Linked DNA regions of Drosophila melanogaster. The protein of the gene in region 1 purifies or fractionates together with the protein of each later gene. This does not show direct contact. Each region holds a gene or a part of one and is shown on either strand. Other genes may lie near its edges.

What was found.
Region 2: the proteins of Ccdc85 (region 1) and RASSF8 purify together in Drosophila melanogaster (affinity purification with western blotting; one study listed by BioGRID). This does not show direct contact.

Annotation. Positions count from the first base shown.
Region 1 is NT_033779.5:2,997,483-3,010,327, forward strand, and holds the start of Ccdc85 (Ccdc85), read left to right. Parts: upstream 1-1,803; 5' UTR 1,804-2,519; intron 2,520-12,845. Other genes in the region: CG3558 (uncharacterized protein), read left to right, coding at 10-48, 309-766.
Region 2 is NT_033777.3:25,654,371-25,667,215, forward strand, and holds RASSF8 (Ras association domain family member 8), read left to right. Parts: upstream 1-7,424; 5' UTR 7,425-8,044; coding exon 8,045-8,116; exon of another isoform or gene 8,117-8,263; coding exon 8,264-8,637; intron 8,638-8,779; coding exon 8,780-9,500; intron 9,501-9,567; coding exon 9,568-9,878; intron 9,879-9,939; coding exon 9,940-10,285; 3' UTR 10,286-11,270; downstream 11,271-12,845. Other genes in the region: Tnks (tankyrase), read right to left, coding at 162-239, 300-456, 525-817, 882-1,039, 1,100-2,980, 3,045-3,827, 6,222-6,417; Lgr3 (Leucine-rich repeat-containing G protein-coupled receptor 3), read left to right, coding at 12,785-12,845.

The DNA.
Region 1 (12,845 bases):
AAATCTTAGCTTCATCTGGCTTATCACAAATTTACGCATTCTTCACCGGTAAATATTTCACGCTTGATAAAATATTTAAAGTTTTAATCAAACCTAACCCAATATGGCATAGTCTTGTTAATATTTGTGCGTAGTATCTTTATTTTCGTAGAGCTTTGTACATTATGCTTTCCACTAAAAAAATAGTTAATAGTAGAATATAGAAAACATTTGTGGAATCCCATATATACATGTGGTTATTGTTGTTTTTTAATTAACCCAAAATGTCAATATCATGTGCTGTTGCTAATCCTCGCATACGTTTTTAGGAGCTGCCTCGAATCTGGTGGGGAATAATGCCAGCAACGATGGAAGAGGCATATCACAAGCTCAGACGTCCGCAGGCACATGCGAGACCAGCTTGAGTACGCAGCCCCCAGCGGGAGCATCACGCACAGGAGCCAACGCGACGTCAACAGCGGCATCGGGAAGCAACAGCAGCATCGCAGGTTCCACCCTAACGCTCTCCGCCCAGTCGAACACAACCACCCACTCGGCGAGCACTCTGCACGGTCTGGATGGCGGCCCGTCGACGGGTGGTTTCAACTCGGAGCCGGCGTCCCTGGACTCGGTGGCCTCCATGGGAATCATCGCCAGCACAAGTGGCACCGAGCGATCACGCGATCTGGCCCTATGTGCTGTGCTCATGGACGAGTGGCTTAAGGAGCTGGCTGCCATTGCGCAGGAGCAGAGCGTTGTGCTGGTCACGGAGCAGGGGTCTTTATGATCGCTTGGAACGGAAAGCTTGTGTATACATATTTTACGGATTTGTTAGCCCTTGTTTGTTTTAACCAGCTACTCTTACGAAATTATTCTTTTTACCTGTTAAATTTTCGATATTTATATTTTAAAAAACAACTTTTAACGAACAATGCAGTTTTGAACAGATTTACAAGTTAATGCACACGGACTCAACTAAAAAAAAAAAAGAGAAACACTCAACGCGTTAAACAAATAGATTTAGGTTAAATGTTTTAAGTGAATCGGGACGGTGGATCTTAAGTGTTCAGATGTAAACAAATATTCTAATTACCAGCCGTACGCAAAATTTACAACGTTTATAGAGAGAATTATATAACACACATACCATGTATACATATGTATTTTTGCAATATATTTTATGCTTTTATGTATGCAAGATCAAATTACACAAGTTATGTAAAGCCAACTTGAAAGTATTAAATTGGTCCAAGTAAATGCACAGCCAAGAAGATTTAGTTATTCTTATTATTAGCTTAGGATTTCAGGTTTAACGTGAGAGCCAATTTTATAACATGGCAACCACCAGAGGAGTCAAAGGGACTCACTGGGTATACCTTCTTCTGGTGCGACACGTAAACGCACAGTTCATTCTGCGCAAGTCAGCTGAAGCTGGAGGAGCTGCCTGCATCGGAAACACAGTTTAGGTTTGAGGGCCATTGGGAGAACTGCCTTTGGGGTGTGGCGGCGAAATACGATGATAATTTAGGCGCTGAAATTTAGCCAAAATGTTTTTAAATAAAAGTGTTTCTTATGAAAACTTCAAGCCAATATATTCAAGATTATACTTATTAAAAGAAGCAGGCAAGATAAATTTCCGTTTAGATCGTTAACGGAAGAGTTTGAATTTGAATATGTACTAAAATAGAAGTTGATCGATTGATCGATTTATGCCCACACTTTAAACCAAACACATTCCACTCCGATATCTTAGTCGAACACAAACAATCGATAGTCGACAGCACTGTGGATGGTTGAACGCATCTCTAGAAATCGGTCGCTTTCAGTCACAAAACTGCGATCGTTGCGATCGTTTGCCGTTCAAAAAACGTAAAAGTGCGCATCGCCGGCTGAATTATTGCGTTGTGTTTATTTTATTGTTAAATATCGCATAAATTATGTTATACTTTTCCCCGCCCTGCACTCGATACATTCGTGTTGGCGACTAATCACACCGCCCGCATTTTCGCAAACTTTTTGTTCTTTAGTTGCGAGTGCCGCTTGAGTGTTTGTTAAGTGCAAGGGGAACACCGGCTGAAACCGCCTTTACGGGATTCTAGCCAACCGAAAATAGTTCGCGAAACGCAGCAGGCGACGCGTCTTTTTGGCTCTCGAAAAGGGCATGAAAACTCGCGAACTGTGGCCAATAAAAGATACATACAGGAAAAAGCGATTGCGCGAATTCTCGGCTGCGTGTGCGCTGCAAATTTGCTCGTGCGGAGCAAAAACAAACGAAAATAGCCGGATGAACAAATACATCCAGTGCGAAGAATAATCTACGCTGTATAAACAATTAGCCGCAAAACAAACGGCGGAATCGAGTGCCCCTGTGTGCCAGTGTATTGTGTGTGTCTGTGTGTATCTGTATCCCTGGAATGCGCAGTCGCGCATGCGCAAATATTTGTGATTTGTTTTGAAAGGAGAGAAGGAGCGAGAAACAGAGATAGATAGAGAAACATAGAGAGAGCGCGCGATCGGATTGGAATAAAAAAAAATAAAAGGTGAGTTTTGCTGTTAGATTGGCAATTGCAGCAACTGCAGTTGCCTTGGCCTAAGTTGCCATTTTCCCTGCCCACGTTTCTCCACACAATTAATGTACAGTGCAAGGAACTATTTGAATAACATACATGATAACTCACTCACAAAAAGTTCAATTCAGGCTCTTCAGCTATTGAAAAAACATTGAATCAATACTTTTTTACGTGTACCAAGCCCACGTCAGTCGACTAAAAATCCATGGGCCTCGGCCCACGGAAAATTAACTCATTGCCCCCTCTTTTCCCTTCGATCCAGAAAATTGCTCTATTCTCCTCGGGAACGCCCACTTTGTCAGCGCTACGCCCACCTTGCCCATTTGTTCTTCTTTTGTCTCTGGTCTTTTGTCTTTTCCCTCCACGGTGCGCAAACGAAGGCGGGTTTTTCCTCCACTTATCGCTCGGCCACTACGGCCATAAAAGTCCGAGTAAAAATCAATTTTCAAAACAAGCAGGACAAAAACAAAGGAACGAGCCAGCGAGGCGGCAAGGGGGCAAGAAAGGGAATATCGGACGACAATAACATCAATTTTGAGGCATTTATATGCGCCAATAAATTCAACAGTTGCTTGCTGGTGTGAGTGAGAAGGAGAGGCAGCAGGAGCGATGGCGATAGTATCGCATCCGAGGAAAGCAACAAATAACAGGCAGAAAGATACACGACAACGCGCAACAATAAGACACAAGATCAAACAAAACCAGCAGCGAAAACCGACCACGCTGCAGCATCGCCGTTGCTTTTGTTGTTGCTGCAGCAGTTGCAATAGCAACAGCAACAACCACGCCGCATGCAACAGGTAAAAGCAGCGACGCCACCGTTTCGAAACGAAATGCCCGCAAGAGCGAAAGAGATGGCGCCGAACAACCTGTTACATCGCCCGCTGCCTGAAATATGTAAAGTCAATTTCGTGTATCGGAAAACTGTAACTAATGCCAGGCAACAGCAGCAGCAGCATTAACCCATTAACGCGAAAGGGAGAAATCGGCCAAGAAATGCAAATGCATTGTCCATGGGTTAAATGGAAAGGCGGGATGGTGTAGTTGGGAAAACTGCTTGGCCACATACCACAAACAATGCAACAGTCAGGCATCGTTTGAATTGGCAAAATGTAAATAGTAATTAATATTAATACAATTATTAACACTATTACTTCTCGGACAAAAAGTATGTTTCCTTAGGGGTCTAAGTTGAATGTTTAATATTACTCATTTCTTTAAGCCTTCATCCGAGTTGGAATCTTTTTGCGGTCATGAGGCTTTTCTAAAGTATCCACAAGAATCTCCTCCTGACTTGGCCCGGCATCTTAATGGGTTAAGATCCGCGCCCGTGGGCAACTGAGGCCAAGTTCGTTGTACGCGGCGGCAAATAAAAGACAGCGCAGTCGAGTAAGAAATTTTTGTCAATGAAAGAAAACTTTCTTTTGGGCTTATCCACGCCAACATCGCCGCCGGTCCTCCGTTCACTCTTTCGTTGTCTGTCCTCCTCGCCGGTGATTTTGTTTTGTGTGTCGCCCTGCTCTTTATATTCCTATAAGCACCCATCCATATACGTATATCTTTCTGTTTAATTGGGCGGTTTCGAGATTTACGCGCGCCTGCCGCCATCTGCAGAATCTCTTTGGAGTATAATGATCTTTTGGATCTCTACGTCTCCGCGGGCTCCTCTTCATGGTCCATTAAGACAATTTAGCCTGGCTTCTCTTTTCCGGGCCTTCGGGACTCGGCCATCGGATGCGTGGGAGTGGCAGGGGCGGCATGGGAGTGACTGATGCGTGGGAAGCCTCGTCTGTTTGTCATCTTGGGGCTGCAGGTTTGATTGCTTGCGAGCCAAGCCAGGGCAGACCAAGCCAAGTCATCCAGCCATCGAGTGTCCAAGTTGGCGCAACAAGTGTCCCAGTTTGTGGAACGGCTAGAAGCCAGCTACTCGAACTAGAACTAGTTTAAGTTTCCTGTCCCGGCAGCCATAGCTGGAATCTCCTCCACATGGTCACATACTTGCATGCTTATAGTGGCGGTGGAAATGCTAGAAGTAGGTTAGTTTAAATGCTTCGCTTTGCGATCTGTGGATAAACACGTCTCACAAAATCGTATATCATACATATATCCCAAAAATTATATAAACGCCAAGATTATTTAATAAGAGATCAGAATATAATATGCTATATAAGACTTATATTATCTTTGAGTGACATTTTTGGTGCTATTCGTTTGAGCGCAACTGTGACTTTTCTTTTAGGCTCGGTCATGTTGACTCTTGCTGCCGTTTCTGCGGTCGCCTGGAGGAAACCCCCTTTTGGCCAACCTACTCCCCTGTTATTAACCGTTTGGCCACATTTTCTCACACAGAGTGCGCAGAAATACTTGGCAGGCCACTCTGGCAATTGGCGCGCCTCTGGAAATGACAAACGGTCATGAGCATGTGGCTCCGGCCCACGAGGAAGCACAAGGGGGCGTCTCGAGCAGCTAGCAGCTCCACTAAATTACGGAAATCTAAAAAAATATTCTAAGCATTCGCCGGGAAAATTGATTTGGAATAACTGTATCAGAATGCTCTAATATAAAAAAACAAGTCTCGTCTCGGGATGCTATAAATTCCAGAAATGATCGAAACGGAACCGGTTGAAATGTATGATAAGTGATCTATAGATCGACATATCATGTTTTGAGCATGTAAATCAGATAAAAAAGACCGCAAATGATAAGTGCAAGTCTTCTTTATGGAACATGATCATTATAGAATTCCTGTAATAAACCAGTAAGTTATAATTAGGTAAAAGATGCAATGATAAGAATTCTAATCTATTTCCTCTACGACCAAAAAAGATATGCCAGATGGGTTCTACACATATCATTGTAATTGGCAATGATCCCATTCGACATAAATGCCGAAGGAATGTAAATGAGACCAGTCGATTGGAACTGCCATGAGATCATCAAATGGCCTCCAATCGCATGGAATCCGCTTTGAGGGGTGCTCCACTTGGGATTCATTAGGAGGCCCCTTCTTTACTTTCAATTCGCTCTGCTTCTGGCCAAAACGTTCTCCTGTTGGCCCAAAACAGCCTCACGTAACTGTAACTGATTTGACCTCCCATCACTTAGCTACCAAAAAAACCTCCTCCAAAAGCGTCGTTTTTTTCCGCCGCTGCTGCCGTTTTGGCATTGTGAATGGTTATGGTTACAGTGGGGATTGCGGATTGGGGCTCGAGATCTGGGCTGGGGGACTGGGGCATCCGTGGTATCAACGGAACCGAGTGGCGGCATTGGGTCTGTTTTGATGCTCGTTTGGCGGAGCGGTGCGACCTCGACAACAAATTTCTATTGCATGCAATTTGGTGAATATCGCATGCACAAATGAACATTAACACTTGGCGGAGACCCAAGAGATGAACAATAATAATAAAAAAAAATACCAAAAAACTTGTTTGCTCAACAGAAAGCAGTGACAACAAACATATTGGTAAATAAATGCAAACCACAGATGACGAATGTGGCATACACTATAATAGGAAGTATTTAGTTAGCCTATTTCGAAAGAAACATCTTGTTTGAAGATAATTTTTAAGTATGGAACTTAAATGCTATGTTACACAAATTAAAGTACATATTGAAGTTACAATATTGTGCAAATGTATAGAGTAGTTTCGTGTGCCCCTCCATTTTCTAGGGTATTAAACATCAAAAACGGCAGCCAGGCGGCAGAGCATCGAGTGAAAAAGTGCGCCTAGAAATTAGAAAGTACGCGGCGGTCTGGAGGAGAGGCTCAATCTGAAGTTGGGGCTGGAGCTGAGGCTGAAGCCAAAGTCAAAGCTATGGTTATAGCTATAGACAAAGTCGAGGCGGTGGGTATGTGAGTGTAACTCGATTTGTGACTGTCATAAATGGCGGAAATTGTGGGGCTCGAGACAAAGCGGGCTTGGGGGACTGGGGACCGAAAGACGGAGGCTTTCTGGCTAGCTTTCTGCTTTCTACTGCCGGCCTGCCGGTCTTCAGCCGCGGCTCTTTCCAACTCCAAGCTCCAAACTGCAGCTCCAACTTCTACTCCAACTCCAACTCCGGCTCCGTTTTTCTTTCTTGCTTGACTATAATTTGTGCCATCAGCATTTTGTTGTCGTTATCGTTAGTAGAGACCAGAAGACTGTGAACTGAGCTGAAGACTGAAGCCAAAAGACAGAAGACAGCAGACAGGCGACGGCAATGAAGCGTACGTTTTGACATTTCCCCAGCTCCGCCGAAGCCTCTCTCTTTTCGCTTGCTCTGGTCTCCATAATTATCGAAGCGGAGAAGAACGCGCTGCCACAATTTGGCCAGATTTTTATTAATTCCCACCTTGCGCCACCACCCTCCCCTTTTGATACCCATTACTCGTAGAGTAAGTAGGAGGCTATTTTAGATTCGATAAAATGTATGTAACAGGTACTTTCACTAGCTGGGTACCGGGTATCCGATAGTCGGTGAACTTGACTATAGCATTCTCTCTTGTTATGACTTATTCAATTCGCCACCAGCCGCAGAACAGCCTTAATATAGCCCCAACCCAATCGACGCTGAACCCAAGAACCGGCTCAAGTTCGCCTCGATCTGCGTTTATTATTACACTTAATGTGACTTGATTTATAAACAAGAGCAGCCTCCAACGGTGGACCAACCGACCAACCGACCAACCGACAAACCACTGGTCACCTCACCTCTTGCCCAGCTGTTGCGAGGAGCAGAAGACAGCAGATCGACATGGCTCAGTGACCAAAAGGAACACTGGGGGAAATTTGATCTGATATTGCAGCTCTTGCGTTTTTTCAATTCTCCGTCTACCAACTGAATTGTTGCCATGTATTTATTGAACTCAGTTGGTTGGTTTTCAATACATAACGTTATAGTTTTTCCCAGTGCACATACCGCACTGGTGTTGGGTTACTCCAAATATTGCCCTTTTCATCGCCGCCCGATAGGAACTGTCTTTTAATTAGTTCATAAATTCAGCGTGGAAAAGCTGAAACGCAGTTTCACCTCCGATGTGTAACACTTCCACTTCCCTTTCCAGTACCTTTCCAGAATCTCTCGCTCTCTTTGGGCTAAGCCCACCAAGTGGCTTCCTTCCTGGTCCCGGGTCTTTCAATAGATCGTTCAATCCGGAAGTTTGTTGCGCTGGCGCAGACAAAAGAAGTGCGGCACTAAGCGGCTTTTGTGCCCAAGAAAGGAAATAGAATTCCTACCGCGCCCCTTCCTTTTCACTCGATCAGTCGAGTGAGAATCTCAGAGTCATTTTAATGGTTTCCGCTTTTTATGGCATTGCCCGGGCCTTATGATTGGTACAAAATTAATAGAAATTTAATTGGAGGGGCCCGTGGGGTCGGGGGAAATTGGTTCTTTAGGCATTTATTGCGCATGCGCGCAGCTTTTCTCGCTGTCGCTAATTGTTATTGCTCTGGGTTTGTCGGACTTCGTAGTTCTTTATGGTTTCTTCACGCTCCGGTCTTTGTTTTTTGTATTATTTTTATGTTTAACTAGACGTGCGGGAGGTTAAAGCGTGCTAATGCTTACATAATGCTTTGTTTTCGGGCCTCTTTATTGTTTCCACACCGCCCTTCTCACGTCCTATTCACCTATTTTCACGTCTTTTGTACGTGAGGTAGGCCCAGTTGGGCGGAAGGGCGAGAAAGTCGAGGACATTTTAGGGCCCTCATAAATTATCATCTCGGGTTTCGTAATCCCATGGCATAGGAATATGATGAATAGTCCCTGTTCCCATTCACAGTTTGATCCAGTTCCTTTCTGTGCCTTTTATGACTGGGAAAAGTTGAAGATGGTACCAGATAACCTTTTATAGGTATAAATCAATGTGTGACTGTGATTTATATTGATTCAATTGGGATAATTTGGTCTAATTTGTGACCTTCCTAGGATTGTTCTTTCGGAGAACCCCCTACGGAAAGAAATATGTGCAAGTGCTTGGTTAATATTAACAGCTAGCATCCTCAATTATCCCACTTATATGCATTATAACAAACATAACCTGATTTATTTACCATAAATTATGTATCACTGTCACAGATTAGATTAGTCATGTAACTTCACAATACTCAGGCTGAATTCTTGTCGAATCCGAGCATATATAATTGATTACTCCGCCCACACTTGTGGCAACCTGTAATCTCCAAAAATCACACCATATGGAGCACGCGCTCTTTACCGCCCACGTTTATTCAAAATTTTTGGGTATTGTGAACTATGTGGAGATTTTGTGTTTTGTGTTCTCTAAATAAAGCCATACAAGACAAAAAATCGAAAGTAGCTGGCCAGAGGAGTTCGAAAAGAATTTCAGCAGCCCGAAAACTAATGAAATGCCAGAGACAACAAAAGAATTCAAACATTAGCATACATGAATTTATTCCCCTTTATTAATTTTGTGAGGTTAATTTATGTGGAGAGAGAGGAGGCATGATGAAACAGAAATTTGAACCGAAGAAATGTTTAGTTTTGCTGATGAAGAATGTTTTTTGAACCGCCTCCAGCCCGATGATAATTAAATATTTGTACATATGAACTTTACTGGGTTACGGGGCCAACAAAAAATGTCTGTAGACTATGGTAAAGAGCGGGGAGGGGGGGGGACTCTAGTAAGTCCGGCTTGATTTTTTGATTTTGGGTTTTTATGTTCTCGCTTTTGGCGAGAAGTCGACTTACAAGTCACTTCATTCGATGCTGGCCTTAAGATTAATGTTTCCCCGTACGCCGGCTCTTGGAAATTTGCATATTCCGACAATTTGCGGCTTGTTGTTCGTTAATGTGGATGTTGTAACTGCTTGCAGATAGATCCCCCTTTTAGATTTTTGTGTGTTTCAGAGGGCGTGGTAATGAGTTCTCACCGAAAGATTCTCGTTATGCGATAAATTCGAAAGTTACCGAAACGATTTTGGGTTTTCATTTGCTGGCAAAGTTTTTTTTTGTCCGTTTCGGGTAATTTACATGCATAAACAATTTGCACAAAAGTGTTTGCCGTTGCCTGGGAGTTTCGCGCATGAAATGACCAAGTTTATGGCAATCGACGGGCGGTCGGAGGTGCACAAAACCCGGAGACCCGAAGACTCGGAGACCCGTCTACCCGGCTGTCGTAAAAATCAAATATGCGACGCAGACTTGACACAAATGATACCCATAAACCATAACAACGTAGAGCCGAGAAATGGAAGTTGTATTCCGGCGATTGAGGGATTGGCGAGAGCTATGGTTTCTCGATTTGAATTCGAATTTGCCCAGGGAGTGGCTCTATTCAGGTTAATTTTGAGTCGCTTCGATTAGGCCCGACTGAATGAAATATGGATAGGAGACCTCCAGAGTTCCACTAGCTTTGCAACGTAATCTACATATTAATTCCGTTCAGAGTTTTATATACTTTTTATTTTGTTCAGCTCAGCACATAATTAAGCAGATTATTGGCCATTAGACCCCTGGGGATCGTGTTTGCGAGAAGCTATAGAAGGGAGTAGAGAAAGCACGACAAAATTGTATAAAATTATGGTTCTTTGATCTATATAATCACCTATCATCATCTAATTGTTTTGGCTTGCTTAGGTGTAAATTTGCCAATGTTTATATCTATATCTATGTTTATCTTTAAAAATATTCCGCTTTTTCTTTGTAATTAACCACAAGTTACAACTTTTTAATCCCTTATCGTAAAGCCTTTCTTCTTTCCATTAGCCAGCTGAAAATTAGAATTCCCACAGCTGTTTGCTGTGCTGGAGCTACTGCTCCAGTTTGGAGCTTTTCATTAGGAAAAGCCGCCGCATTGGTAGTCAACTCAACCCCCACCGACACAGTTTTGACTTATCGCTTAACCTTCACTCAGTTTTAACTCTTACCTACCGTCTTTTGTTTTCCTGCCTCTGTCTAACTCGTTAGCTTTTTGCATTGTTAAGTTTTTGTGTCTTGCCTACTGTGCTACACACGGCACTTTAACTTGGTGGCTGGAACATGAAAAAGACAAACTTGTGGGTGGCCTCTTCGTGAGCGATTGAAAATTAGAGTCAAATCATTTTTGACTTTGTCTATAATCGTATGGCGTATGCATTTCAAGCGTATCCATTTCTATGGCCCCGGATTGAATTCTTTTCTCAGAACTCCAGAGCCAGAGTGAGTGTCACGTGCAACATAATCGTCTTTCGATGGTTACAAATCTTCTCAGGCCGAGCCCGTTGATAAATGGAACTTCAGGCCGAGGGGCGAGTTTGTGTCTTAAGTCTTTTGAATGGCGGTGGTGCGATGTGTGGATCCTTTTGTGTCTGCGCTTCATTCATTCGTTCATTCGTTCATTCACGAACATTTTCGCTTCATTTCTTCCGCCAAAGTTTCTCACTTATTTTATTTTCTTCGGAGCCAAAGGCAAAGTCATCTGTATGACTTAATGTCGACGCCGACAGCGACGCTTGTCGTTTGTCATTCAATCCGAGCAGCGAAGGCGTTTGATATATACTCGTATGTATGTAAGTGTATGTTCCGCAGGCTTTCCCCGGATTTTTGTGGAGCAGCGTTTGAAAAACGATACATGGAGACGGGCTGTTACGTTGTACCACGCGTTTTCTGGTGCGTGCAATGCAAATCCGCAGCCAATTCCAAATCCAATGAAGCGTGCAGCCCCGATCCGGAGACTTTCTGTACTTACCTTACCATATTCTTATGTTTCGATGTGGGTGTGCAGGTTTGCTTGTCGCATTCGCCATGGCTTGTGGGTGGCCAAGTGGAGTTGGCGTCGATCTGGGGAGGGATGAGGGGGAAAATAACTGTATAACCATGCGCCATTTCCTGTTGTAAACTATATTCCATTTCAAATAAGGCTCTTAATTACTTGGGTTATGTCATTTCAGTTTCAGTTTATTACAACTAGAATTTCTTGTTTGCACTACATTAAGTGAACTAAATTTTGACCATTATTATCAGCACCCTCCTGCAAGTGGCTGGAATCATTGCTCTGGCCTACTTCCCTGCGATTCAGCATAGTGCAGTACAACAAGAGCCTGTGCCTGCCTTTTCATCACGGACTTCATTGTCTGGGCGCGCGGTCAGTTTGGGATTGTTGTTAAGTAAGTGTACTTAACCCACATGACTTGCGGTTTTGCTTGTCTCAGTGCGGACCAACAACTTGGTTTCTGCCCGTGGCTGTCATCACTCGAAAAGGCCAAAAAGCTGTCATTGCCTGCGATCTGTTGAGTTGTGGCCACAGTGCGTATACGTATGCGTGCGCAAAGAGATTTCTTAACCTTGAGTGACTTTGAGCGTTTCCCAACCAGCCAGCCATCCAATCCAATCCAATCCATCCATACGTCCATGTTTATTTATGCTCCCCCTTTGGCTCTGCGTTTATTAACCAATTTTTTCGCTGATTGTATTTTGGGTTTATTAAATTACTGATTGCACGTGTGCGTGTCCGCGTACTTGACTCTACGCTCATTTCCTTAATTAAACACTTGTTTCACGGTCCGTTGGCCAATCCAAGAGGTATTTCATAAAAATAAAAATGCCAAAGATTAGCAAAAAAAAAAAAAAATTCAAGCTGATGAAGCTCATTTGCAGAAATAATGATCCATCGGCAAAAAGTGATTAAATTCAAAGATTATGTAAAGGCGATCGACAGCAATTTGCAATGGCTAGCAACCGATTATCAAGTTCACTAGAAAGTTGCTGCATCATTACTTTTAAAGAGCTAGCTTTGTGAAAAAATAATGATACGATGTTGATTTGTTGAAAAATATCATTTAATTTTTTTTTATTTACTGCTTGAGTAAAAGTACCAAAGTAATAAGTTAACCATATTTTCTTTGCATTTATGATATAAGATCCACTTCCTTTGCATATCGTGCTACCAGTTTTTGTTCTGACCATCTTGTTGCGTGTAACTTTCAGTTTAACCCTTCAAGATATTTTCTATTAACTTGGCTTATATCTGGCAGTTGCCATCTATAACAAATAAATTCATGGCTAGACCCATTAAAAACTTATTATGCTTTTTGTGTGGCACTCCGGTTTTATTGTCCATTGTCGGGAGCTGGAGGTTGCGGGTTCCCAGTCTCCCAGCCGGGGGAAGCCACCCACAAAGTGGTGGGAAAAGTAATTTTCATAATTTTGCACTCCGACACCTTCACCTCCTTCTCCTGTTTGAGAATCGGAAGCCCCCGGGCATATTATTCTCGACTCGTTGGAAATCCACATTTACATGGAGCTGGGCGAGAGCTGTGAGCTGGAACCCCTTATTAAAATGGCACTAATTATGGCAATTTGTTATTGGCCAAAACGAGC
Region 2 (12,845 bases), on another chromosome or scaffold:
GCTGAGGTCTGCTGTTGTGGCGGTGGCAACGGCAGTGGTGCCTTCTGCTGTTGTTGTGGTTGCGGCTGCTGCTGCTGTTGCTGCTGCGGTTGTTGTTGCGTTTGCGGCTGGTGCAGCGCGGGCGACGTGGTTGTGGGCGTGGACCCGACAGAGGGCATCCATCATCTTGTATCCTCCGTTCCACTACTGCTGTCATCGGGCTTGACGATTTGGTAGGTTATCAAGTACTCCGGATAAGACTGCAAAACCATAACATACTTGTAGCATTACTGAACTCGCAAAGATTGTATGGAATTTACCTGTTCGCCCCGATAGACAACGTATTCGGCGAAATGCAAGCCACCCGCCGAGGGTCTGCCCACCACCGAGTGGTGTCCCGGCGGTGCATGGGCCATCTTCATTGCACTGTATTGCAAGAAGGATTTGCCTAACGCCACTCGGCACAGCAGCAATTGTCTGCAAATTTTGGAAGAAAGGGTTGAATGAGTCGGAAGATCTTCCCAAAATGATTATCAAATCCTTACCTAGGACACACGTAGCAGGACTTATCCTTGTGCGAGGGACAGCCAATGCCGCCGCCAATTCCGTACACATACTGGTTGCTTTTCGAGCTATGCTCGGCGAAATAAATGCCAGCCCCAAACATGCCGCCAATGTAGGCGTGGCGCTCGTCGAATCCGCGTTGCACAATTGCGTTGATGAAGGGACTACCGTGGAAGAGCATACGCTCGTTGGACTGCAGGAAATTCTCCTCGGCGATCTCTTGCCGTCGATGAGCATAACGCTCCCACAGCTTTCGATTTTGTACCTTTTGCACCTGTTTTTATGACAAACAAATATTTTAGATTGGAATTCGGTTTACCATTTTGGTAAAGACTTACCCGAATGATGTTATATCGAGTGAAATAACCTCCAGCCTGTCCATTATCACGATGTTCACGAATCGTGGCCTGCATCTCCTCCTCGACGGCCACAAACTCCTTATCGTCCGGCAGCAAGTCCACCAACAATGTGCATAGATTCACGTTGTTACCAATGCCTTGGGTGAAATGAAATGATTTTTCATATAACTAACTTATAAATGTTTTCATATATTCACCTGTGGTGGACCTCAGCTGGGCGATTCCCTTGAGTATCTTGTGGCGGAAGCCGTAGGCGGAGACGCCCACCTGCTTGAGATCGTCGTGGCCCATCTCGGCTAGAATGTCCAAGGTGATTTGTTCGCGCTCGAACAGTTCGATTAGATGATGCAGCTGCTGGCTGCTTAGGAATCCGGACACATTTGTTATGGTATCCGCATCCGGCAGTAGATCATCCGAAGAGGAGCCCTCAGCCCCATTGGCCTCTGCTCCTTGGGCGGGACTGATGCGCGTGCTACTGGACAGTGGAAGTGGAACAGGAACACTCAGAATCATGGAGGCACCGGTGGGCAGCAACACCGTTTCCGTGGTGGGCGATAGGATTGCGGATGAGGACGATGAAGATGTGCCCGGAGCCGCAGCAGCAGTTGCATCTGGTGCCGGGGAACTGCTTGTCAGCGATTGCGTGGAAGCACTCAACGCCTGTTGACTCAACGAGGTGGCCATCGCGTCCTGGAGCAAGCACTTAACATCATCTGCCGTGGCCAACTCAATGGGCGTCTGCCCCTCCTGGTTTTTCATATAGGCATCGGCACCGTGGGCCAACAAGAGCGAGCACAATTGAGTGCGCCCCTTCTGTGCAGCCTCGTGGAGCGGTGTGAATCCCCATTTATCTGTCGCATTGACAACCGTCTTGTGCTTAATTAGCAGTGCCGCAATATCCAAATGCCCATAGCTGCTGGCATTGTGCAGAGGTATTAGTCCCCCCTTGTCCTGTGCATTAACATCGGCTCCATTCTCCAGAAGGTACTCGGCACACTCAAAGTTGTTATATCCGGCGGCCAGGTGAAGTGGTGTGGAATTCCTGCCCTGCGCGTCCCGGCAATTAATGGATTCCGGTGTAACCAATCGCTGTACCCGTGCCAAGTTTCCTTTCTTTGCTGCGTCTAGCAGAGCGGACGGTCCTCTCAGCAGCTCTGCAACATCGTGATCAGATTCCTTAACCAAATCCGCTGGTGTCGCGCCATCCCGATTCTTCTTCATTGGATCAGCGCCATGTTTCAAGAGCAGCTTGCAAATATCATACTTTCCCTTGGCGGCAGCTTCATGAAGAGGAGTAAACTTCCACAAATCCGATACATTTACATTGGCTCCGTGCTTGACCAGCAGTTCGGTTACCTCATAGTGCCCATAAGAGCAGGCATTGTGCAGGGGCACCAGTCCGCCCTTGTCAGCCGCATAAACCTCGGCGCCGTGTTCCAAAAGAAACTGAACCACTGGCACTCTATTAAACCCAGCAGCAAAGTGCAAAGGTGTGGAATGTCGTCCGTCCAAATCCCGGCAATTGACCGAAATCGGATTGTTGAGCACTATACGGCGCACAGTGTCCAGATCTCCCGCCTTGGCTGCCTCCAGTAAATGTGTCTCACTGTCCGGAGGATTCTTGAGCAGCTTCAGCACGCTGTCCGAGGCCAATTGAGCGGCCGTAAGTCCCTCAAGGGAAACGATATTCGTGTCCGCTGCGTACGAGAGCAGCAGTCGCACCGCTTGCTCATCACGGGCGCACCGATGCAGTGGCGTTTGTCCAAGACTGTCCAATGCATTAACCTTGGCGCCCTGCTTTAGCAGCACCTCCATGGCATCGTAGTGAAGCAGCTCGGCAGCCAAATGCAGGGGCGTGAGGAAAGCCTTGTTTTTCTCGTTCAGCAAGGATCCCTTTCTGGTCAGCAGTTCCATCAGCTGCTTGCGCTTCCCATCCGGACTGACAACGGCCAGGTGGAGCGGAGTGTCTCCTGTATATGGATGCACGAAGTTAACAATCTCTGCGCATACCAGCTTCTTGGCACGGGACACATCACACTTTCGACAGGCGTCCAGCAGGCAGTGACCCTTGTATTCAACTGAAAAGTAATATGAATGACGTTAGAGCTAAGATATTTAAAACGCAGACAGCTTATAACTCACAGGCAATCCGCTCTCTCAGCTCCCTGGTGGGCGCCGCATCGATGGCCGACTTGCTGTGGCAGTTTAGGAGGGTGGGATCCGCTCCACGACTGAGCAGCAGGCTGCAGACCTCGACGCGACTTTTGGAGGCGGCCTCGTGGAGCGGCGTAAAGGCCCACAGATCGTTGGCGTTGACATTGGCGCCCGCCTGGATAAGCAGCTTGGTCACATCGAAGTGTCCGTAGGAGCAGGCATTGTGCAGCGGCACCAGACCGCCCTTGTCCTTAGCATGTACATCCGCTCCGTTGGCCAGCAGAATTTCCACGATGCCGATCCGATTGTAGCCCGCTGCCAGATGGAGCGGCGTTGAGCGTCGTCCATCGCTGGCATGACAGTTGACATTGAGTGGCGTGAGTAGGGCCAGCAGGCGATCCTCGGCCCCCGAGCGTGCGGCTTCAAGCAGCTCATCCTTTCGATATTCGCCGGTCAATACGGGACGCGTCGCCTCGTCCGCCAGCTCCAGTGGTGTCTTCTGCTCCGAGTTGCGGATCGTATGGTTTGCGCCATGCTGCAACAGAGCCAGGCACACATCCACCTTGCCCTTGCTGGCCGCCTCGTGCAATGGCGTGTAGTTCCAGTTGTCGGTGGTGTTTGGACTGGCACCTGCCTTCAGCAACAATCGAACTACCTCGGCGTGGCCAAAGGAGCAACAGTTGTGCAGCGGGTGCAGCCCACCCTCGTCACACGCCTGTATGGAGGCGCCGCTGTTCAGCAGGAATTCAACCACTTCCCGGCGTCCATAACCTGGTAAAATAAAAACGAATAGGTTATTAGATGAATGTCATGTATTGGTCGATGGGAAAGCCCTACAAATGAGCGAGAAGGTCTTGCCTTCGGGGATTTCAACCTTGTCCATGGCATACGAAAAGAAAGATATGTTTTCCGCATTTGCAGAACTGTTGCCCAAGGAAATCTCAAAAAAGTTTACATTAGCTTATGTTCAGTTGAAAGTAAACCTTACAATTAAATGATAAATAATCAAAATAAGTCGCATAATAATCAATATAAACGGATGACAGTTGTGATGATCCAACCGAGCCCCCGATTTATAAACATACTTTTGGCAACTTTTGCATTGTCAATGCCAGAAATCTGAGTCATCTTAATAGGGTACCGTAATTGGTCACACCAGAGATGATCAACATAAAATAAATGTTTATGATCGTACTTATTGCTACGTTTATAATGAACTGCAAAGAGAACCGGATCGAATTACAAATCTGGGCAAACAAAAGCTTGAGCCACCCACCAAAAAGTGGTTTGCGAAACGTTTGTGCCGTTCACTTTTCTGTGGGCAAACAATTACGAAAGTTTTGCATTAAAAATTAATAGAATGGAAAACTTAATTCCAACTGTTGCACTTGGAGCGTCAAAGCGCCAATTGCTCGCCACTTGGAAGTGTGATCCTTGGGACTGTGAACAATATATGAATAAAAACTGAGATATATGTATGCAATTTCAACTTGATTTGCAACTACCACCCCGAAGGTTAATTTGCACAACTTTTTGGCCAGCGATAAACGTATGTTTTAAGTATCTCGAATATGGCCAAGATATGGAGGGGAAGGTCTCTCCGGGTTTATCGACTATATTTACTATATATATGTACACACACACACATAAATGCCATGATAACGGGCCAATGTCAGAAAATCTGATAGTCGCAAAGAAGCGAAGTAAAGCGATTGCGTTTTACTATGTGTCACGATTGCGGGAAAGGAAGGAGGAAACGTGAGCTCCGTTTTGGTTTCCACCGCAACAGGTATTGTAAAACTTCGAGTGGCCAAAAATGTCATACATTCAACGAGGTGAAAAGCAGCCGCAATAAAATATATATAACTTAAACGCCACCCGACAATAACAGACCCCTCGAAGATCTCACTTTTTGTGCACAGAACGTGACAAAAAGACAGACGAACATAATAATGGAAAACCAGTTTATAGAAAGAAAGAAAGACCCACCGCCAGATAATAAAAAGTGCTCAAAACTTAAAAAAAAAAAGAAGTCACAAATGGCCAAAAGGCGAAATTGATATGCAAGGGGCGTCGAGTGAAACGGTTAGAAAAGCTTGATGGCATTTTTGGGGTATTGTTCGAAAGGGGTGAATGTGGATGGGGGATGGGGAAGGGAAAGACGTTTCTTTCCACTTTTGATTCGATGCTGCCGACTGACTAAATAAATCGCAATGCATAAAATGCTAACTAGGCCAAAGTCACAACAAAAGACGCGAAAATATTGAGCCAAAGACGTCAGCAGGATGGCGCATACAACGCAGCAGCCACAACAAGTCGCCCCACTGCCCACTGCCCCGCCCACCGCCCACTATCACTGTCACCCCCACAAAAACAGACACAATAGCAGTCGAAATAATAGTTAAAAAACATGCATGCTTGTATTACGAAGGATTAATCATTTGATCACTCACAGTTGAAAAATGTAAATAAAATAAATATGTTAGCACGAGTTATTTTGTTTACCCAATCTAATATTTAAAGGCCAAGCATCTAACTAAACCCTGCGAAACAGGTTAGCTATACAATCAGACCATATGTTGCAGACCTTTATCTATGGGATTCTACGTGTAAACAAACAAAGCTAATCAGATGATATATGTGTGTTAAACATTCAATTTCCAGTGCTGAGACAGTGAAAGCTCTCATTGAAATGGCTAATTATGCAGTGCTATTATCTCGACCGCAGCTGTATGAGTCTTTTTTGAAAATAGAAAATGCTTAAATGCAGCACGCACGCACACATGCAGCGGCAAAAGGGGCAGCACGGGGGATTCCCCTTTTGAGAGGGGGTCTTCCGGAAACAAGCCAAACATATAGAACACATAGAACGGTGGTGGAAGGAGAAGCAGAAGCAGAAGAGGAGGCAGAGCCAAAAGCAGAAGCGACATGGAAACTAGGTCAACTCTCGACGCCATTGGAGCAGGCGAGTGTCCGACCGAGAGCGACGACAATGACGCCCGTCACACCCAGGCGCAACTAGCTCAAGGCCAAATCCGCACTGCAGCGGGGGGTTTGGGCGAGTCCTTCAACCTTTCGTTGGGCGAATGGTGGGGTGGGCTGCCGTTTTTAGACCGTCCTTGGAAGGGATTTGGATGGGATCTAACCGCATCGCATCTCACTTACCCGCTGCGAAATGCAATGGTGTGGATTTGCGTCCCGCCGTATCCCTGGCGTTCACGGTCTGAGGCGTTATTAGCTTCTTCACCTTGGCGATCTCGCCCGTTTTGCAGGCCTCGAAGAGCTCCCTCAGCGGATCGTTGGCCATGACCGCATCGAGATTAACGCTCAAAATGGCCCGACTTCGGCTGCTGTTGGCCATTGTTGTGCTTGTTTGCTACGCTTTGGCACACACACGCCCCGAAAAAAATAGGCAACAAAAAACAAGCGCAATATTCAGTGGGCTTTCGGGTTTTCCACTCCCAGTCCAGTTCTCTCCTCCAGCAGTTGCTCTGCCCGTCCTACACAAGCCTCGCCGTTGTCCGTCGCTGGCTTGCCCGCATCCTGTATCCAGGTGTCCTGCCTATGCCGCAGGAGCAACAATTTGCCACTGGCTGCCACGCGACCAGCCCTCGTTTTTGCTTAATATTTAATGCACAATTGCAGACCCAAAATCAATAGGATTTCTTTGGTTCGACACAGCACGGTTGCAAGGATCGCGGTTGGCTACGATTCGTTTTTACTGAGACTGCGACCAACTCTGGGACTAGCTCCCTGGTACTTGGCCTCCAAAGCTCTGGGCACGGACGATTATTTCCGGATTAATTCACTGCTCCGCGAAATATTGCATTGTTTTGTGACCGAGTAAGAGTGACCGTTCGCGGGGTGGTCGAATATTCCAGGTTGAGTCAAGCGGTGTGACCAGGCGACGGGGCAAGCCATTCTGAAAAAATACTGAAGTCCTCGAATCACATAAGCTTTTCCATTAATTATATTTTTTAAATTTAATAGCTTATGTTCTCACAAGGTTTTACACAAATTTGTGCTTCAGTGTGCACTCACTATTTGGTGAAAAGCGAAAAGACGTTTGCATCTATATTGTGTTATAAGAAACAATTTTTTTTGTTAACCAAATAGACAATATTCAATTGGTGGTACAAAAATTAAGATCATCATTTTTATGAGCTTAAATTAGAATTCTTAAATTAGAAAAGGCCATGTAGGAATTTCAATTATCCTAATATAAGCACATAAGCCTATTACTAGGGAAAAAATCTCAAAAAAATTTTTTAAAATAATAGCAAGTACCTGTTACAACAACATGCAATCCCAATTGGCATTGCTATCGATAGCTTGAAAAACACCTGTTTGGCCATCCCTGGTTGGCTGTTGGTGCAATCGATTTTTGGCATCGACTGGATGCCCATGCCAACAACAATGTTTGCTTTTAAAATTTAGATTAAATCCGTTAAAAATCCGTGAAATCAAAACAAAAGCAGTGGAGCTGCTTCACAACAAGATTATCGTGCTTACTAGAAAGTGAAGAACCACGGAGTTACCGCGCCGGAAGTACAAAAGTAATCACCAAATCGGAAATCCGAAAAGTGAATCAGAATTTTTCTAGCTCACACACACACGCGCGCATACCCGCACGCCCAGCAAACACTCATGCAAGCGTATGGAACCAGTCGTGTTGTTGTTGTTGCTGTGAATAAGTGCAAGTGAAGAAGAAGCAGAAACTGTGATCGGAAAATTAAGCAAAAAAGAAAAACAGGCGAGGAAAAGTGGGGTTGGGGAAAAGCAGACGGAAAAGTGGAAAGGCGGAGTGCAGCTAACACGCTTCGCTGGCTGCGCGACAGCAGAACGCCAGTCAAGCGCCAAAAACCATTAGTAGAACCCCATTTCCAGCTGGAGCGGCACAAGAAAGCAATTTTCTGGTAGCAGAAACACCAAGAAACGAAAATAATTGGCCGATCTTTAGAGACTCGACTCGACGACAATTAGCCGGAATGGAGCTGAAAGTTTGGGTCGAGGGCATCCAGCGGATAGTTTGCGGCGTTACAGTGAACACCACATGTCAGGTATGTGAGCTACAGCAGAGGTCAAAATAATAGCACTATTATCTTGTTAAAGCATTTTACACTGCTGCAGTGCTGTTAATGTGACCCGAACTGTATGCGCTCTGTTTGCTAGTCAGTTTGCCCTAATTATCGTTTTATTTTCCACAGGATGTGGTTTTTGCTTTGGCCCATGCCACTGGAAAAGTGGGCAGATTCACTTTAATCGAAAGGTGGCGCAATAACGAACGCCACCTGGCCCCCAATGAGAATCCAATGAAGCTGCTGCTCAAATGGGGCGAGTATGCAAATGATGTGCAGTTTATATTACAACGTTCGGAAAACAAAACACAGCAGCAGCAGCAGCAACAACAACAGCAGCAGCAGAACAATAATAATAATAACAACTATGCTGTGATGACAACAACAAAAAAGCCGCTGGGGCCGAACAACAATAACAATAATAAGCCAGCGCCCACTTTGCTAAAGCAAAAGTCGAACGTCGAACTCAGCTACCGCACAAAGGAATTGAAAAAAAGTTTCGGGTGGGTGGTTTTTATATGCTAGTTAGTTTGGAAACTACCCCTTAAAGCGCTTACCTAGCCCTAATTGTTAATAGGCTAACAAACTGTGTTTAAATATGCACCTGTGCGGCTACCATCAACTGACAAAACTTGTCTCTTTCAGGGGCCACGATGCCAAGCAGTTTGACAACATTGGAATCGTCAAGGGAATTCCGCAGCAGCAGCAATTGCAGTCACAACAAACGGCCATGGGAGCACCGGCGAGTCCACCACAGGAGCAGCTGACACCGCAGGATAACAATAATGTAGCACCACTGGTGCCAAAGCATGAGAAATCGCTGTCCAATCCGCTGGACATGACCAGCACGGGTAGCAATCCACCCGCACCTACAAATGGCTACAATGACTTCTACAACAATAACAGCAGCAGTAATCAGCATATATACAGCCAGCTGAGCAAATCCAGCAATGAACTCCGACGCTCCAGTCCCAACGAAATGTACTACAACAATAATAACAATATTGTTAATAACAATAACAACTCACCGGAGCTGTACAAGCAAACGCCGACGATTTCCGCGAATGGAGCTCTAGTCCCACCACCATATCGTGACCCGCCACCCCCGAGAAACAGCCCCATGTGCCAGGGGCAGCGTTTGGCCAGCAGCAATGCGGACACCATGTCCAATGCCTCCTCCTCGACGAATCCGTTTCTCAGCGACTACGATCAGCATAGCAGCCACAACACTAATAGCATCAACAATAATAGCCAGGCCATGGAGGAGGGTGAGCCCATGTTCCAGACCACGCAGTATAACGATTTGCTGCAGCTCATCAAGTTTCAGCGGGAGAAGATCACAGCCCAGCAAATGGAATTGCAAAAGGTACAAATATTCAAGTTTCTAAATTGATTTGGAATGTTATTATTTTATTTTTGTTTTATCTGCTTAGTTCGATACGGAAATAGTTTATTTGGAGAGCAAAGAACGCGACCACGCCCACGAGTTGGATGCTATTTCGCGTGAGATTTCCAAGGCGGATCAAATCTTTCGGCAAGGAAGCGAACAGCTCCAGACTCTGCAGTATGTGGAAGAGGAAAACGAATTGGTCAAGCAGCAAGAGAAGACTTTGAAATCAGAAATAGCTCTACTGCGATCCAAGCTGGCCAATTGCGAAACAGAGCTGCTACAATGCAAGAACAAAATGCGCTTGCTGATGGATGACATTGAGCTGGAGCAGCAACATCAACAGCAGACCAATAGGTGAGTGCATAGCAATTTACTTGCTTTGTTTTAAGTTTTTCACACTTCTTGGTTGTTTCAGGCAAACTGTGGAGCGAGACTTCTTGATGGAAATGGAGCGCATTCAGAGTGAAATCGACCAGGCTCTGCACAACACTGACACTTCAAACAAAACTGCAGATAGTTTAAAGAAGGAACTACTCATGATCGAGCATGCCATCGCGGACAAGAAGCGGCAGGTGGAGCAGCTGGTCAACGAGATGAAGGAGGTGAATTTGCAGAGCCTGACTGTGACCACCACGGAGGAGATCAAGCATCTATTGGAAGGACCCAACAAGCAGGGCAGCAGCCGGCGGATCATCGGTTCGCCCAGGCAACTTGAAACGGCGGTTCCAACCAGTAAAAATCCTCATGGTGTGTGGGTTTAAGTCACACATACCCAGAACTATTTTTCTAAACGTATTTCTCCTCCAACAAAATAATGTTTTTGGGAACAAATTGATCAACATATCTTGAATGCATAATGGAGTTGAAACGAAATGGATTCCTTATGAATATCACAATTTTAAACAATATTCTAAAAATATTTACAATAATTAACGTGCTTGATTGTTGTTTTAGTATGTTTACATTCCAATCACACTCTATGGATCTCTCAATGCAATGATATATGTTACAAATTTGAAATCACAATCGTTTTATTACTCTACATTCCGCACTGTACTTTGTATTTAATAGTAGTTAATGAGTCCCATATTCACATGCCCTAATCTTAATTTTGTGTGCTATACTTTTGGTTAATTTTTGCTGCTAGTCTACGTGTTAACAAAAACCCTTTCCAATCTCTACAATTCGCCATTAGTTGTTAACTTGACAATGAATTTTAATTGTTGCAATAATTCGAGAGTATCGTAATTTAAAAACGCCTTTCTAACGAATAAGTAGTGCCCTTAGTGATTTGTCTCCTACAGAATTATTCATTGTAGAATTCACAATTCGAATTACACAAAACTTATTGTACTTAGCAATTAGCGCAGCTTTAAAAAAACAAATTAGCAATGCTTTGTTGAAAAGTTTAACTTTTAAAGTGCTTAGCCTTAGCCACCGGATATCGAAACAAAAGACCGAAGCATTAACAATTGCAAAGGTATCAAGCATTAGTACATACATAATTGCTAGCGTACAATTAAAAGACAACCCACAAGTCGCTTTGATGTATTATGTTTTTAATTAGCAATATTTAATATTTACACAAACTGATGATGATAGTGAACTACAAAACACCAACGGAAATGCAATTTATCGAATATTATATATTACTATTACATTTAAACTAAAAACGATTTAGAACAAATTGTAATTGCATTACATCTAATTAGCTAATAAATACATTTTTATGATTTTCTCGAAACGAACTGTCTGTATTTACATTTGGTTTTGGTCTTTTGAAACACCACGAATTTTCCGCAAATGAAATCAACGGTCAGCCCGAAGTCCTGTGCCACACGAAGCTAGCTGCTCGGCCGCTTTTCTTGTGCGGAGGGAAAAACAAAATCAGCAACACATGCTGCCACCAGCTTCAGTTGGCCGCTGTGCTCGAACGCGTTTGGTCCTTTTGTCCTTGTCGATATCCTTCGCTCGCGACTCAGACTTCCTGGCGAAGCGCGCGCTACTTTCAATTTTCAAAAAGTGTCGCCCAGTGAACGGGTCAGTGAAAGTGGCCCGTAGGAAATAAAGAGGCAAAGGAGCATACATTTGAATGGTCCGTTTTTGGGGGCATCCTATCGCATTGACACAATCGACAAAGTGGTCGAGGGAGAGCGTTAAAGTGGCCCGCCAGCAAAAAGGACGAAGGAGCGCTCCGTTTTTATGGCCCTCTTCCACACCAAATGATGTTCAATTGCGATGATTGCGATAATGAGAGTCCCAGTTTCTCTGTTTTGGGGATCATGCATCGCCGAGACAATGTGACCTTTTGCGGAAATTATGATTTGTCTCCGGCTGACCTTGAGCCCCCCCGCTGGGCGATGTAACCCCCCCCCCCCCTTGCCGCCGACTCAATTAAGCTAAATTTAATCAGCCGGACAAGAAATGCTTCGGAAAAGGACCCTCTAATGCCGGTCACATATTGCACTTCCATTTCGTAGTACATTTGGCAAACCTATAACCTTGAGTTTGGCTTAATGTCTTGCATAAATTGGGGAACCAAGTGGCTGCTTAAAAATAGAACCATTCCGACTGGAGCCAACTAAAATTATTCATTTCGATTTGCTAGACTCAGCGGGGCGAACAAGTATAGCCAATCTTTATGACTTCCTTTTAACTTATATCTTGGTTTTTTCTTGCATCACAAATTTTAGTTATTATAGCAGCTTTCAGACGCGTGAAATAATACTTTTAATAAATTTATATCCCCAATAACTTTAAGCCGTCTGTGAAACTTAAGCCCGACGTCTGTCAAAATGGCGCTTTATGCATATATTTTTTATGGACACCAAATCAATTTTATCCAGCGCTGAAATCGAAACCCCACCAAGTGGAAAGCACTTGCCATCCGAAATATTAATTTTGAACTCCCGCTCCAGCTCCCAATCCTCCTTCCGCTTCATCAGCTGTGTAATCCTGGCACTTAAAACTCTTCTCCGCGAGCTGTGAACATTAGCCAAATGAAGTGACAAGAAATTAACGCAAAAATAAAACAAGAAGACGGAGCGGTATAAGAAATAATAATATAAAAACTCAATGAGTCAGCACCGCATCAGCTCCTGCTGCTGTTGTTCTTCTTATTGCTGTTGTTTGTGGGGGCGTGGCCGGAGTGGGAATTGAGTGCTCCTAATGATGAACTCGGTCAAGGAGCCAGTGCAGCCATGGTGGCCAAGTAATTAGATAAGCGAGCGTGCAAAACAGGAGCAAACCGATAAATCGCCATGGTCTACGGCAGGAGCATCGCCGTAGGCTTCTGTCTGATGACCGTCGTCCTTCTGCTGG